Linked DNA regions of Arabidopsis thaliana. The protein of the gene in region 1 interacts with the protein of each later gene in a pairwise test. Each region holds a gene or a part of one and is shown on either strand. Other genes may lie near its edges.

The links.
Region 2: the proteins of ATE1 (region 1) and WRKY13 interact in a two-hybrid assay, tested with the Arabidopsis thaliana proteins (one large-scale study listed by BioGRID).

Annotation. Positions count from the first base shown.
Region 1 is NC_003070.9:4,691,207-4,695,080, reverse strand, and holds ATE1 (ATPase E1), read right to left. Parts: upstream 1,800-3,874; 5' UTR 1,702-1,799; coding exon 1,386-1,701; intron 1,318-1,385; exon of another isoform or gene 1,120-1,317; coding exon 902-1,119; 3' UTR 671-901; downstream 1-670. Other genes in the region: PGL1 (6-phosphogluconolactonase 1), read left to right, coding at 109-606; AT1G13680 (PLC-like phosphodiesterases superfamily protein), read right to left, coding at 2,379-2,465, 2,539-2,762, 2,850-3,153, 3,532-3,630, 3,718-3,834.
Region 2 is NC_003075.7:18,332,060-18,336,819, reverse strand, and holds WRKY13 (WRKY DNA-binding protein 13), read left to right. Parts: upstream 1-1,926; 5' UTR 1,927-2,030; coding exon 2,031-2,416; intron 2,417-2,616; coding exon 2,617-2,958; intron 2,959-3,696; coding exon 3,697-3,883; 3' UTR 3,884-4,214; downstream 4,215-4,760. UniProt on the Arabidopsis thaliana protein: Transcription factor. Interacts specifically with the W box (5'-(T)TGAC[CT]-3'), a frequently occurring elicitor-responsive cis-acting element.

The DNA.
Region 1 (3,874 bases):
AAAACAAATGGACGATCTGGAAACTTATCCAATCATGGTGTTGGTCAATACAGCTGTGTATTTTGTCTTGTTATAATGTTGACTTTGATTTTTTTTTGTTATTTTCAGGTAAATGTGTTTCCGAGACATATATGTTCCATTAACGACACAGTTTCAGCGGAGGAAGCTGCAACAGAGTATGAATTCGCCATCAGACAGATGGTGAGATCACGAACCGTGGCTGCGTCAGACAACAGTGACAGTCCCAGGTTTGATCTGATCTTGCTTGGGATGGGCTCAGATGGACATGTAGCCTCACTCTTCCCGAACCACCCAGCACTTGAGGTGAAGGACGATTGGGTCACATTCCTAACCGACTCTCATAAACCGCCACCAGAGAGAATCACATTCACTTTGCCCGTCATCAACTCAGCTGCTAACGTTGTCGTAGTAGCAACCGGCGAATCCAAAGCCAATGCTATCCACTTAGCAATCGATGATTTGCCCTTACCAGACAGCTCTCTGTCTCTGCCTGCAAGGCTAGTCCACCCGAGCAATGGGAATCTGATTTGGTTTATGGATAAACAAGCGGGGTCTAAGCTTGACAGGTTTAAATTTTCCGAGTAGGATTTAGGTTTTCTTCTTTGAGTCAAAAGCAATTGGTTCTTGTTATTAGTGATGACCCTTTTTGTATGAAGAGCATCCGGTTTAGATACATGACTCTTACTTTTCTAAGCAAGCAAGTTTCACCAAACTACCAAATCTATTAACTATAGCAATAACATGGTAATCAACCTCAAGAAACAATCTAACCTCAAAAACTCTATGAGGTGATAGTGACAGTGTTACACACTCAGGCGAAAACATACTTGTTATCCTACAGGACAAGGTGCATAAGAGAATCCGGTAACGCTTACTTTCATTAGGCATCGCCGTGACTTAGAGCATCAGCCTCTGCTCTGGCCATAGGATCATTTTTGGTATCTGTATCTTCCTCCATCTCTCCTTGTCGATCTTCCGCCAATTTCTTCCTGTGAAGCTCCTCAGCAGTCTCCATGGCAGCCTTGTTCTCAGCTTGCATCTTCAGAATCTCCTTCTCCTGTTGCTGCCTCTCAAACCATGTGTCTGCATCTGCCCAAACTGAAACAAACCAACAACACCAATAAGTCCCATTTGTTAAACAACGAGACAACCTCTCAGCTTAATCATATATACAATCGAGAAGCAAATACAAACTTGACCTAACTTCAAATCCGCAAATCTAACAACACTAATTGCAGAATCAATAATAAATCACAAAGAACACTAATTGCAAACCCTAATTTCATAAACCCCCAAATCAACATTATCAATAGCTCAAATTTCAGAAATCAAAAGGAGAAGAGAAACAGTAATTGGAAACGTACGTGGATGAGCAGCCCAACCCTGTTCACCACCCTTAATTTTCTCAGGGAGAGCATAATTAACAGTGAGAACACGACCATAAAGCTCAGCACCGTCCATATTATCCATAGCAGCAGAAGCGTCTTCTCTCTCAAGAAAAGTAACGAATCCGAAGGATCTATGCTTCTGATTCGCTTGGTCCAACGGCGTCTTCACGTCTTTGATATCGCCGAAAGGTATAAACGCGGCGTGAAGGATCGATTCGTTAACTTCATCAGCTAAACCTCCTACGTATAAAGTGTTCTTCTGCATCGCTTGTTGCTGTTGAACTGCCGCCATTGTTGAAATCTGTTTCTTCGAATTCCTTCTCGCTTCTACTTCTACTTCTCAGGGAATTACTGGAAAACACCAGAGAGAAGACGATACCGATATTTTTTTTCTTTTTTTGTTTCCATCGTATAAATGGGCTTTTTGGCGGATTGGCCCAATAATACATATGTGTTTTTGGCGGGTCGGCCCAATAAATTTTGTTTTGAGATTATAAAATTTCCTTATTACCTTTTTGTTTTTTTGACATCAAGCCAAAAAGTATCCCAACAATTTTTTTTTTGCCACCCCATATATTTATTTTTTGCTTTTTTTTTAAGCATATTTATTTTTTTGCTAAACTACCACCGAATATGACAATTGATACATTCACGTATTATTATTCAAACGCCATAATCAACGGATCAACCAAATAGACAAAAAAAACAGTCAAAATATTGTTCAGATTTCAGAAGTTTACTTCGTAGGTATCTAAATGTTTAGTTTCCTTTAATTTTTTGTTCCATTTGGAGCCTATTTTAAAAAAAACTTGAGTTAAACTAAGCCCAAAAATATAATGCTTTATGCATGCTAAGATTAGCCAGATGTTTAAAATAATTTGATATATATATATATATATATATCTTAAAAATATCTTGTAAACTAAGGCGAGCTTTAAGACTAATGCATTTTGTTAAATTCAAGTCAAATTAACAAGCATGCACATCATCACGTCCACATAGAAGCTCTCCGTTTAGTTTATCAATTGCTTGAAACGTTCCTCCTCCATTACTCCTCTGTTTCAAGGAGTTATTAAAGTTTAAAATTCATTCAAGGAGATATTAAAATTAAAAATAAATATAACCTTACCTTGTAAAAGTTGACGGCGACAAAATTGGCCCATCGGTTCCCTGCGGCTACGTAACATGTCTTAATCATATCGAGAAGTTGCTCAGAGTTCTCCTCACAAGTCAATATCTTAACCGGAACTGTCTTGAAATGGTTTACCGAAACCAAAGCTTTCGTTTTATCGGTTAACAGTGCAGAATCTGCTCTATTGCTACATTCATCTGGTTTAACTCCATCGTCTCCATCTAACAATCAATACCACGTTGGGATTAATCCGTGATATCTAAACAAACTAAAATTAAACCGGAATTTTGGTATCTCATCACACTCACATTGATTTTCCACCATGTAATTCCACTGGTAAGCTATTCCTTCGGTTTCTTGCTTAGATTTAGCTGAAGTGAAAACGATTAACCGGTGGTTATTGGCGACCATATCCTTAACCAACGGCCAATCTTGGCCACCTATAGGCATATTTTGAACCGGAAACCAAAATTTCTTCAAACCGGAATCGGTAAATACTTTGGTTAACCCGTTTTGCGATTTGACGTAATCCTCCAAGATCAATGTCACGATCTCTGATGGATTCGCTGTCAAGAACGCGAATATCTCCTTGAATGTGTCTATCGCCCGATTCTAAAAAAGTGACATAACAAAACAATACAAGCCAAATTAAATCATTTATACCAAAACATTGCATGTTAGGATATTTTCTCTTCCAATAAAAGACAAAACTAACGCTCCAATTGTTTCAAAAGCAAATAATTATGTGTCTCACAATACATTTTGCAAATTGAAAACACAAACGTGTTGCACAAACACACACACACACACACACACACTAGGGTAAACCAAAAAGGGAGATTATTTTGAAAATGCCAAAAAAAGTTGTGTTCTTTTGTTTATTACTTTCTTATATTCTAAACCAGTCTCTATTTTCAAACGTTTGCTAAATAATTGTTTTGGTTTGACTCGGTTTTCTTTTGGTTAGAGAAATTTAGAGATTAAACTTACAAATTTGGTGAACTCAAAGCATTGTTCGTCGAAGGAATGGCAAAACCATACGTCTCCTTCGTAATCGTACGTATCCAACATCAATGCTCGAACACCACTCTGAACAAAAACATAACATTCACAAGATAGAAAAATAATAATAATGAAGTAACATATATTTTTTGTCTATTGATTAATAAAACGCACGTTGAGTTGTTGAACTATAGTATCTTCTTGGGTCGCCACATGAAGCGCTTTCCCTTCAATGGCATATGAATTGTGGGTCGTCAAAAATGCATATTTATTAAACGGCATCGAATTGTTCTGTAACAAAGAAAAAAAATTCAGTAGAAGAGTTAAGCCC
Region 2 (4,760 bases), on another chromosome or scaffold:
CTGGTTTTTTGAAACAGAAACAAAAAAAGTCTTCTAAATGGATAATGAAAGTACTAATGCATTAGAGGGAGGAATTAATTAATATGTGCGTTGTTGTAATTAGAAACGTGTGATTAACCTTATATATATAAGTGTAATATAGTATATATAATAACTAACTTGATATCATAAAAATACTGATAGGAGGTTATCATGCGTGTATTTATATGTATGTACACAGATATATATATATATATATATATATATATATATACATAAAGTAAATAATAAGTGGGCTTGGAATTTGAGAAACGGTGGGGTTTCGGAACTTGATGAAACGATTACAAAATGCGATCTTGCAAAAGGTAACAGACTTTTCTCTCTTGTATGATTAATACTAGTGTATATTTTACGAATTTATTTATCTTTTCTTAGGTACAGTTTTTTAACGAAAAATGTCAAATAGGAGGCTAATTCATCAAATCATAATCATGATATCCTCATTTTTATTTTTTTTGTCAAAGATCATGATATCCTCATACAGGTACAGAGTAATAGATTTGCACCTAAGATTTTTCATCATTGCTCCTCCTAATCTATATATTCCTTTTTGGATTCCCAAAATAATAGCAATCGTATAAATTATTTGAGTACTACATCAAATATGAAATCCTAGCTACAAGAAAGTGATAGATGTGTGTATATTCCCATCACATCTCCAGCCATTTTTTTCCATGGAAAATGATTTCAGAATTTAACTTCTAGAGGATTTGGATTTATTTTGGAGAAATAATGATTACAAAATGGTGCAACTATCCTTCTCTATTCGTTTGAACGATTCAAATATGATCCTCCTGCCTAAATATATGGATTTTATGTTCAAAACACGAAATTCGCTAGAAATAGAAGTATTGTATTTTTCCCAAAAAAGAATTATAGTGTTTTGTAGAAATAAAATACAATACAAGAAGAAACTAAATTATTAATTTATTTTATTGAATAAATACATAAAAATAGGTGTATAGAACACATGAACGCCGTTTGAGGGACGTAACGGGACGCCGTGACAAAAGCTGGCTGCCGTTTAAGCGACACGACGTTAACTCCCACTACCTCTTCATCTTTCTCTCGAGTGCCCTGACGCGTTTTCTGCTTTTTGTTCTATCTTTCTTCGTTTTTCCTTTTTCTTATTAAATCAACAAAGAAAACAAATTTGTCTACACGATTTTAGTTAATAGTAATGTTGAGAAAACACATGTAATTCGACGAACAGATACACATTCACTTTTAATCATATATGGAGTAGCAAAAAAAAAAACTGTTTTTAATTTCAAATGTGGTTATTCTTTCTTTTAGACATCAAATTCGAACCAATAATCTTAGTTTGGAAAAGCATAAGTGGAAAAATGTTTATAAGTCTGTAGTTTTCCCACCAACTTAGTTTTTTTTTTTTTGATAAAGACCAAATTAAGGTTCAAATATTGTGAAAGTTGCAAGGCTGCATAGGACATATAATAATGAAAAATATTTGAGTTAATGAATAATTTTCATGCATAGATCAAATTAGTCATTGTTATAACATTTCAACTACCTAAAAATTTTACGTATTGTTGTATACTGCTACCAAAACACAAAACTGTAAGTCTTTTCGCTTGATCCTATAATCGTTCTAAATTTCCAAAAAAAAAAGAAAAAAAAAAAAAAAAAAAAATCTAAAACCTCATAGTTATTTTAACCAAAATACAGACTTTATTAATATCAACAAACATTTTTAAAAAGACCCCTCATCACTATTATATTTCAAAATCAGGCGAGTACAAAACAAATATGAGCATTTTAATCACATGTAAATCTTCGAACAAAACCAATCCAATTGGACCCACCTGCACCTTTTCATTATCCAACATTTATATATTAATCGAAACACTCACATGGATGGATTGGATTGTCTCAACTCTCAACCCAAAATCAAACAAAATATCCAGCAAAACAAAAACTTTCTCTCTCACTGTCTCACACACACAATCTCACCTTCGTCAAGCTTTTGCGAGATGGGTGCGATAAACCAAGGAATAAGCTTGTTTGATGAATCACAAACCGTCATAAACCCTATTAATACCAACCATCTAGGTTTCTTCTTCTCTTTCCCTAGTCACAGCACCTTATCTTCATCATCTTCGTCGTCTTCGTCTTCTCCTTCTTCTCTTGTGTCTCCATTTCTTGGTCATAACTCCCTAAACTCCTTCCTTCATAATAACCCGTCTTCATTCATAAGTCATCCTCAAGATTCCATCAATCTCATGACCAATCTCCCCGAAACCCTAATCTCGTCTTTGTCCTCATCAAAGCAAAGGGACGATCATGATGGTTTTCTTAATCTCGATCATCATCGTCTTACCGGTAGTATTTCATCCCAAAGACCCCTGTCAAATCCATGGTAAGTAGTTACTTACGAAAATACTAAAATTAATCATTATTTTCAAAATAAGTATTTAAATATATAAACCAAAAGCTCGTATATTTCCCTACTAGTTACTTTTGCTTTATTGTACAGAATTTTCAATTAGTTTGAGGATGCACACATGACTCGGCTACTTATATATAAGTAACTAATGTTTATATGTTAATGTGGTTTAGGGCATGGAGTTGTCAAGCGGGATACGGAAGCAGCCAGAAAAACAACCATGGAAGCGAGATTGATGTTGATGATAATGATGATGAGGTTGGCGATGGTGGTGGCATTAATGATGATGATAATGGTCGTCATCATCATCATGATACTCCCAGTCGTCATGATAAACATAACACAGCGTCATTAGGCGTAGTTTCTTCTCTGAAGATGAAGAAGCTTAAGACAAGAAGAAAAGTGAGGGAACCTCGGTTTTGCTTTAAGACACTTAGCGAGGTTGATGTCTTAGATGATGGATATAGATGGAGAAAGTATGGCCAGAAAGTTGTCAAAAACACCCAACATCCCAGGTAATTTAATTTAATTTTATGATTTGAAATTGGTTCCGAGTCTTTCAATTCTCAGCCGTTCTTTAATTAAGATGACTACATATCAGTTCTTCCACTTTTTTGCCTCTCATGATTCCTTGAAGGTTAATGATGACTTCTCATAAGAATTTTACGGTCTTGATCAATCATCAGTTTTTTTTTTTCCAAGTTTTTAACGTAAACTAATATGATGAAAATTTGTAGTGAATTATGAGCCATGTAATGATTAATCATTCATTTACGATTTTTCTAAGGGCAATGAAAATTATTAGTAGAATCTTTCTGGTACGTTTCTCTGTATATATGTAATTAAGTATCAGTTCTGTTATAACAAAAACTTTTGTCCCTCTGGGGATTAGTAGCTATAGAAAAATAGGAAAAGAATATAACCGTTAAGAAAGGAAAAAAGTAATTTCATGTAGAAATATTTGAGTGTTATGTGAGAATGTGAGACATAATGGGGTTGGGTTTCTGTAAGATTCTTTCTCACATGTTGACATTTGACATTTACAAATAATAATGATTTGTTTAGGTAACTTGTATACTCATTTTGTAAAGTTTTATCATGAGCTTTGTGATAAAGTTCCATTAGTTGCCTTAATATCTGTTTGATATTATATCACTCTATATTCAACTATAACTAGTCTAACCAAAAATAAGACTTGTTTCCCATAAAATTTGATATAAGATTAACTAATATATATAATATGTGAATGGCAGGAGCTATTACAGATGCACACAAGACAAGTGTAGAGTGAAGAAGAGAGTGGAGAGATTAGCAGATGACCCAAGAATGGTAATCACTACTTACGAAGGAAGACACCTTCACTCTCCTTCTAATCATCTCGACGACGACTCTCTCTCCACCTCTCACCTGCACCCTCCTCTCTCCAACTTCTTCTGGTGATTTCAATTTGTATTTCCATTGAATCAACCAATATCAAAAATCAATCAACCTTGCCTTGCCTCAAACTAATTATCGTATTATATATTAATCATCAACACCTAGCTCGATAAAAAAAAAGTTACACATATATAACATGTTCTCGTTAGGAAACAGGTATGATCGATGTTTTTATATTTGTAATGTGGACGATGTCACCGTGGTTTGTTTGTGTTTGTAAGATGATTAATGTACCATTTCCAAATTGAGGACTATATAATATATAGTTGAATTGATTTTATAGTTACTCTGTTGGTTGGTTTGTGTGACATTATTTGGTATATAAATGTAGTCCACATTCGAAAAATTTAAAGTTTTTATCATTAAAATTGTACTAACAAAAATTTGGCCGAAAATGCTTTCTATTTTTGACAAAAGGAAATTTAAACTCTCCAAAAAAACGCAGCAAAGACAAATACAAAATTTCGCTCAACGATACCTTCAACAGCTAAAGGAAATATATTTCATTGGGCCTTAGTTTGTAATTGGTGGGCTTTTAAATGTATCTTATTTTAAACGGAGTCAACAGAAAATTATATTGTAATGAGTTCCAAAAAACAGCTTATTGAGTCTATGTTTCAAATTGATGGGCCTTATAATGGGCTTCTTTAAATTTTACACTTGTTCAATAAAGACAGATTACCATAATGAGCCTATAGACGAGGAAAATTCTATTGGGTTTAATGATAGACCCAAGTCCACGAATATAGCGATCACGTGACAAACCAAGAAATTCGACAAATGGATAAGCGCGTTTAAGCACGTGAGCGTCTCGACTCTCTCGATTCCCAAAAGTGTAATGTAAAACCTTAAATAGTGTAATACGTTGATCAACTTAGAT